Oryctolagus cuniculus: one gene and its partner. The protein of the gene in region 1 interacts with the protein of each later gene in a pairwise test. Links are inferred from orthologs where the notes say so. Each region holds a gene or a part of one and is shown in the gene's direction. Other genes may lie near its edges.

Region 1 (3,918 bases):
GGTCTTCCATTCGCTGGTTCACTCCCCAGTTGGCCACAACAGCCGGAGTTGAGCTGATCTGAAGCCAGGAGCCAGGAACTTCCTCCAGGTCTCCCACATGGGTGCAGGGGCCCAAGGACTTGGGCCATCTTCTACTGCTTTCCCAGGCCACAGCAGAGAGCTGGATCGGAAGTGAAGCAGCCAGGGCTCGAACCGGCACCCATATGGGATGCTGGCACTGCAGGCGGCAGCTTTACACAGTATGCCACAGTGCTGGCCCCACAAAAGGCACTTGTAAATGGCAGCCAGATCAAGAGCTGTGTCATCACCATGACCCCAGAAGCCCCAGCCACTTGCAGACCAACACCTCAAGGATTAACAACCCAGTTTTTGAGTGGCAGAGTCATTTGTGTTAATGTGGTCACAGTGACTCTGACAGAGACATCACTCACAGGCTTCCCACATTTGTTTCAGTTTCTACAGGAAAGATATTTTTATTTTACTGTTTACATCAAAATGCTGGCAAGTGGCCACCTTGTAAAAAATCATGGAAGTGTTACCTTCACAGTCTCCTAATGTGTCGTGTGGAAAGTGCTTTTGATTGCAATAGAGAGCACCTTCAGTGTGACAAGTTCTGTGGCACCTTTCAGGGAGACTGGGAGGGTTTTATAAGGGCCACAGCCTTACATGGGTGGAGAGGTTAGTAGAGGCACTGGATGAAGGACTAAGGCAGGGACCAGTGAATTGGTGATTAGGAACAAGCTGGAGAGCCAGGATCCCTTGTAGAACATTTAAGCCGAACCACTCAAGCCGTGGATTTCAAAATGAGGTCATATCATAATGAATTGTTTTCAATGACCTGTCAGTTGTTAATACTGCTGTTCTTGCCCTTGATGGAGGCTTACTATTCACAGACTCCAAATCACAGGAGACACCGTGGGACAGCCCTGGATGTCATGTGTGCTCGAACCAGAAATGAACAGCATTTTTGTCATATCTGGCGTGCAGTTGCTTCTTTCTTATTTTTCTAAGTGGAGTGTTTCCAAGATCAGGGTTCATTTTGTGAAACATAGCGTTGCCATGATGTGAAAACCACAAATGAACATGTTTCTCCCATCCGTTCTGTTTTTCAGAGAGTGAGACTTCGCCATGGAGACTCTGGGACATTTAGGTTCTCTCTAGGAACTACAAAGTTGAAGGAAAGCAAATTTTCAAAAGGAAGTTGTCTTGAAAATATGTTTACAACTGACTGATGCTATTGACGGCTTTTTATTGTTTTATTTTTAAATAATAAAACACTTTAAGAAGATTATATTTATGGTAAAAGGAAACTGGACTAACAATGAGGCCAAAGACTTTTCCTGCCACGACTTATTCTGGAAATAGCCGACAGCGACTGCAGGAGATCCGCGAGGGGCTGAAGCAGCCGCCCAAGCCTTCCACTCAGGGGTTGCCCGTGGGACCAAACAGTGATGCTTCCCTGGGGAGCAAGGATGCCGCCAGGCAGCAGCAGAGAGCCACCCCGAAGTTTGGACCTTATCAGAAAGCTCTGCGGGAAATCAGATACTCCTTGTTGCCTTTTGCTAACGAATCCGGCACCTCCACAGTGGCGGAAGTTAACCGGCAGATGCTGCAGGAGCTGGTGAATGCAGGGTGTGACCAGGTGGGTGCAGAGCTGGTGACTGCTCATCCGGGGGTTTGTGCGTGTGCCCTTGAACTGCTCCGTTCCTTCTGCCTAAAACATCTTTTCTAGCTGCCTTTCCTTTTCAGGCAAGATCCAGAAGTTTCTGGGCTCTCCTGAAGTCTCCCTCCCCCATTCTATTCTTGTGCAGATGAGAAGGGCTTTCACACTTCACCCTTTCTTTGGGATTTATTTGGGGTTGTTCTGAGGCAGGCTTTGTCTTGTCTTTGGCTTGTGTATTTTTTATGTAGTTAAGGGGAGGTTTGATTGACATGCATTGGCAATTCTCTGACGCTGTTTTTCTCTCTCTCTCTCTTTTTTTTTTTTTTTTAAGATTTATTTATTTATTTGAAAAAGTTACACAGAGAGAGAGAGAGGACTTCCATCAGATGGTTCATTCCGCAACTGGCCGCAATGGCCGGAACTGTGCCGATCCGAAGCCAGGAGCCAGGAGCTTCCTCCGGGTCTCCCACATGGGTGCAGGGGCCCAATGACTTGGGCCATGTTCCACTGCTTTCCCAGGCCACAGCAGAGAGCCAGATCATTCATGGAGCAGATGGGTCTTGAACTGGCGCCCATGTGGGATACTGGCGCTTCTGGCCAGGGCGTTAACCCGCTGCACCACAGTGCTGGCCCCTGTTTTCTCTTGTTTTCAAAAAAATTGTGTATGTTGTTACAGGAGATGTAATTACATTCATGAGATGAGAAAGAAAAAGCCGAAGGAGCCATGGAAATATGGTCTGATTTCCCTGTTGCTTAGGAATAAAGGGGTACATTAGGGGAAGTGGCACCAATAATGTATAAATACACAATTTATAACTCTACATTTGTACCCCTTAGCAATTCACATAGCTGAAAAGAATCCAGATTAAGGGACTAGGCTCTCTAAAGTGGAGCTAAAATGTAATTGTGTTATGAAATGACTTAGGAAAGCCAGTTCCATCTCTCATCTCAGAACTCACAGTTGTATGAAAGGGAAGTAAGCCAAGTTTTTCTGTTGTCTTAGAAAATCAGCAAGAGTCTGTGCTCAGAGCTCTTCAGGATGGGGTGAGCACATTCAGTTCCTCAGAAGGAAGCTGGCATCGCAGTCCTGGGAAAAGGCTGGCACTGTCATCTCTTATTTCCAAAACAAAGCCCAGGCCTCCTATTGTAGTTTCTCATCATAGCATCTCACTGGGGATTGATGTGTTTGTGAAACGCATCCTTGCTCTTTTGCAGGGGGCTTCTTTGGCCCTGTGAGCTGTGCCAGGATTCACTTGCGAGTGTTGTTAGTTGGAGTTGCTTTTCTCAGGCACAGGCTGCAGACAGTGCTGGCTGCGAGACCACGTGCCACCTCCTGGCAGGACAGGTGTTAAGAGTAGGGAAGGAGCAGGCCTGGGAGACCCCGGACGTTCAGGCCAATGGCAAAGCTTTAAATCTTCTATAAATTACTTGCTGACCAAAGAGGCCATTGAGCCCCATGCCCTTGGCGTTTGTGTTTCAGCCGTGAGGAAGAGGAACAAGTTGAGCAAATAGTCCACGGTGATGTTGGTGGCATCTTAGTAGGGTCAAATCCATCAGCGATAATTACCGCCCATGAAATAATGAAGCCTTGCTGAGCCCCGTCAACATTTCACGTGTGTTACTTGGCAGCACAGAGAGCTCCATGTACCACAGTTATGCTTCGGAAGTGACTCTGTCTTTTGTGTGGAGTGCTGCTTTGTCGCCTACAACAGCTGCGCCTCCTTCCTTCCCTCCAACTCTGGCTGCTTCTGCCCTGGATAAAAGGTGCATTTGCTTTCAGAAATTTCCCACAGGAAAGTCATTGTGAGAGAGAGCAGAGATCAGCTGTGCCGCTAGAGCTGCACATGTCTGGATAAAGCAGGTTATTAGGTGCCAGGATACTGGGGGAAGAGAATCCTAGCCTAGCATCTTTCCCCTTTGTCTCCTATTGTGTTGCCTTTTAACTGAGTTGCAGTTTTGTTCTCCTGTACTTTGAGCTTCGGTGCTATCTTTAACGCCGGTTTTCATCAGAATGGCCGTAAATGCCCTGTTCGTACAGGGTCTTAGATACATGCATTTTATGCAGTTTTATTGATTGCATGTATACACACGTGCATTTATTTCATTTGATTCAGACCAAGACTTATTAAATGTCTATTTGATTTGAGTGTTTGTAAACATCTTTCTCTTCAGATATTTCCTTAAAGTAAAACTTACATTTAAAACAGGTATGGGTCTCCTCCGCCTGTGGTGCCAGCACACCGGGTTCTAGTCCC
Region 2 (3,818 bases), on another chromosome or scaffold:
AACTATTCTCAGGTTGATCGTATGCCGAAATGACTGCGAACCCATGCCCTGGATTCCTTGTGATCCCATAACAGTGAGAGTAGGGTCTTCCACATATCTTGTTCTTGTTTGTAACCCTTGGTTTTTACCTTTGCATATGGTTTATCTCTTATGGGTCTCTCCCATTTCCTCTGAGTCAACTCTTCTTTTGGATGTTATGATATTAAATCTCAAACTCTTGATCCTTTAAATCTCAACCTCTCTCAGCGCCATTTCATCTCATCCTACACCAAATCAAATGTCAGTCTTCTCAAGTTTTCCTCATAGTTTAATGGGAAGCCAGATTCTGTTTGTGATTCATGACCTGATGTATAGTAAGTGCCTCAAAGTGCACTATGTTCATAAATGATGTAGTCTGACTGTACTGGCTTTCTGTGAAAGATGCCAGTCTTTTGAGATAGCCCCAGCTGAGACTGTGGAATCACCTTTGACCCCTCCTTTCACTTTGTCCAGACCTGGAAGTGGGCCAGTGAGGCTTCCTTTGGGGTGGGAGCACATGTGCCTGTTTTGCTCTTGCCACTGCTGCCAATCTGGTCATGCTTTGTAGCTTCCTGTTGAATTTCCTCAAATTCTTCTTTTTTTTGTCCTGGGGTGCGTCCCATGATCCACTCAGACTCAATTCTAATTTCTTTTTTTTATTTAATAAATATAAATTTACAAAGTACAACTTTGGAATTGTTGCGGCTTTTTCTCCCATAACCTCCTTCCCACTTGCAACCATCCCATCTACCACTCCCTCTCCAATCCCATTCTTCATCAGGATTCATTTTCTTTTTTTTTTTCTTTTTTAGGATTCATTTTCAATTATCTTTATATACAGAAGATCTTGGTCTTTCTATGATTCTCCACTGCCCAGCATACACGAGGGTACTTCAGAAAGTTTGGGGAGCAGAGTGGAAAGCAGTTTGGTGTGAAAGATTTTGAAATCCATGTGTTGTTTTTTTCTTGAAATACATTTTCCATGCATTGTTGAAGACCCCTTGTGCAGTTCTGAATCCTGCTCTTTGCGTGCACTTCCCTTCCTTGAGCCCCAGGCTTTGCTCAGATTTGCTTACTCTGGCATGTCTAGGCCAACTCCCTTTTTCTTCTTGCCAGCTTTGCTTTTGTTGGTGTTGCCACACCCTCACTTGGCATCATCTGGGAGCCAAAGAAGGTCAGTGAGCCTGGGGTGGAATGAGTGAGAGGAGAGAGGCCTGAGCTAAGGTTAGAGGGTAGCAGGATGTGGCTATTCAGGCCCTTGTGGACCACACTGCAGTGTTTCATCGTCAGCCTGAATAGCACATGGTGGGGCTCTCAGCAGCTGCACGAGTGCTCAGGACCTATGGAGTGTTACAGCTCGCTGCCAGCGGGGTACAGAATGGATTGAAAGGCAAGGAAGGAAGCAGGGCCACCAATTACAGTGACTTCGTACCCAGTGAGCTGGTGCAGGGACGAAAGAGCTGACACGGAAGATGGAGGCAAGTGAGCAAACAGGAGATTTGTTTTGAAGACACAATAGATAGGATTTTGGTGGGATATGGGGCAGGAAGGAAATGGATGCAGCAAGGATAGTTTCTGGGTCTCTGGGTAATAACCGGGGACTCATGGAACCTCAGACTGAACCAGCAGCCTGGAGAGGAGCAGCTTCATTCCTGTCTCCCTCACAACACAGCCTGTCACGTAGGAAGCCCTTTAAATGTTAACTCTTAGTATCCTGTGTTTATGCTGTGCTTCTCGGAGTACATTTTAAATTCCCTGAAGGCCAAAGGCTGTGCTTTAAACTATTTTTCCTACAGCATCTATCATAGTGCCTTAGCCAGGAAAGGTGGTGAATCAATATTTAATTGAGTGACAAAAACTGTTCCACACTTTGTTTCTGCCTCCTTTCCAAGTCCTAATTATTTGAAGTAAGCAATTAAAGAAATTGGGGAAAATTTCTATTTTCATATATCATACATACAATGCGAGGTTTTTCTATATTTGCACTCAGAAGTGTTATTTAATACGAGTCACTGGAGTCGGGCCTGGGATTCGTCCGTGTGGTATCCTCAGGCTGGCTCCCTACCTCCTGGTGCCTGCTGTCTCCACAGATGTGCACTGGGAACTACACCTTTGTCCCTTACATGGTGACACCACACAACAAGGTCTACTGCTGTGACAGCAGCCTCATGAAGGGCTTGACTGAGCTCATGCAACCCAACTTGGAGCTGCTTCTCGGACCCATCTGCTTACCTCTTGTGGATCGTTTCATTCGACTTTTGAAGGTGGCACAGGCAAGTTCCAGGTAATGTGCAATAACACCATTTGGTGATGATAAGGAATGGTTCTACTTCTTTTACTTATCCATAGAAGATGATCCTCAGGAATCAATATACAGCTAAGAACCAGGATAAATGTTGCACACTGTCTTCCGGGGTAGGGAATATCTCGCTGGCAGTCTGTATAAGGCCAGTGAGATCATTTAGTCTGGCCCTGCAAAGGCAATCATGGGTGGGATTTGAAATTCAGTAAATCTATGGTAGGCTAATTTTTAAGTTGATAATTTAGTTTGTCCCATGCTTGATGTCATAAATATCCAAATGGCACTTGGCAGAGAAAAGGTTCCCCACCCCTGCAAGCAGATAATATACTCATAGATGTCATATAGTTCACATGTTGCCTTGTGTTTATTTTACTCACAGGACAACTTGGTATCAGAAGGAATAAAGACTACTAACTGCTTTATAGGAGTGTCAGAGCTAAAATACATACCGAAACCTTATCAGAATAAGGTCCAAGGACTTTTCAGCATAAGGACAAGAATTCTGCAAAAATTGCTGAGGCAGATGTTGATTAAGAGCAAATGTTTATGTTCATAAATGATGCTGAGTCAGAAAGTACAGGTTATATGATTTAGAACAATTCCTGCTCAGAAAAGTCAATCAAAAATGTGGTTTTGTGGTTTAAGTGGTACGATGCATGGAGATTCATTTACATAGTATTCCTTATAACTCTTTTTGAAACAAGACAGAATATGAAAGGAAATACAGGGACTTCAAAATTTCTAAATAATGACAGATTATGAGATATTCATTCTGTTCACACTAAGTAATTGAAAGCTATGAGTACACAAATGTCATTCATTTTCTTATAAAATTACTATTTTTATTGAAATCTTTGGAATGTGTTTTGGTTTCTCCACAGCCAATATTTCCGTGAATCTATACTCAGCGATATCAGGAAAGCTCGAAATTTATACACTGGTAAAGAATTGGCAGCTGAATTGGCAAGAATTCGGCAACGAGTAGATAATATTGAAGTCTTGACAGCAGATATTGTGATCAACCTGTTACTTTCCTACAGAGATATCCAGGTAAGAAGATACTTAACAGTAAAATCTGTCCTGTAGGATGTTGGAAGGGAGTGCAAATGTCAAATTTCTGTTACCATATGTAGTTTTTTTTTTAATTGGTTCTCATGAGTTTTCCATCCCATGATTTTATGATGAAAGAAGACTCCTGTGAGTTAACTGTCAGTGATTGAGGAAAACTTTCATGGTAAAGGCCTGATTTTTCCCTTTAAAAAAAAAAAAGAAAAGAAAAATGCTAATAGGGCTATCCTATGTACAGTCTGTTCCACTCAGACACACTTGTCAGTCAATAAATGAAAGCTGGTTTAGGGAAACAGCAGAAATTTTTAGAGCCTTCTGGATATAGCCTTTATTCTTTGAAATTGTGTTGCTTGAAATTGACAGTTGTTGCTTGAAATTGAATTGTATTGCTTGAAATAGAAAGACTCTCACTAGCCAAATACAGGAAGTA

The links.
Region 2: the proteins of LATS2 (region 1) and MAP3K5 come close enough for resonance energy transfer, tested with the Homo sapiens proteins (2 studies listed by BioGRID, with this or other methods). The link is inferred for Oryctolagus cuniculus from reciprocal best matches to the Homo sapiens genes LATS2 and MAP3K5.

Annotation. Positions count from the first base shown.
Region 1 is NC_091440.1:91,958,888-91,962,805, reverse strand, and holds the start of LATS2 (serine/threonine-protein kinase LATS2), read left to right. Parts: upstream 1-1,114; 5' UTR 1,115-1,321; coding exon 1,322-1,642; intron 1,643-3,918. UniProt on the Homo sapiens protein: Negative regulator of YAP1 in the Hippo signaling pathway that plays a pivotal role in organ size control and tumor suppression by restricting proliferation and promoting apoptosis.
Region 2 is NC_091436.1:32,159,701-32,163,518, forward strand, and holds part of MAP3K5 (mitogen-activated protein kinase kinase kinase 5), read left to right. Parts: intron 1-2,108; coding exon 2,109-2,302; intron 2,303-3,201; coding exon 3,202-3,370; intron 3,371-3,818. UniProt on the Homo sapiens protein: Serine/threonine kinase which acts as an essential component of the MAP kinase signal transduction pathway. Plays an important role in the cascades of cellular responses evoked by changes in the environment.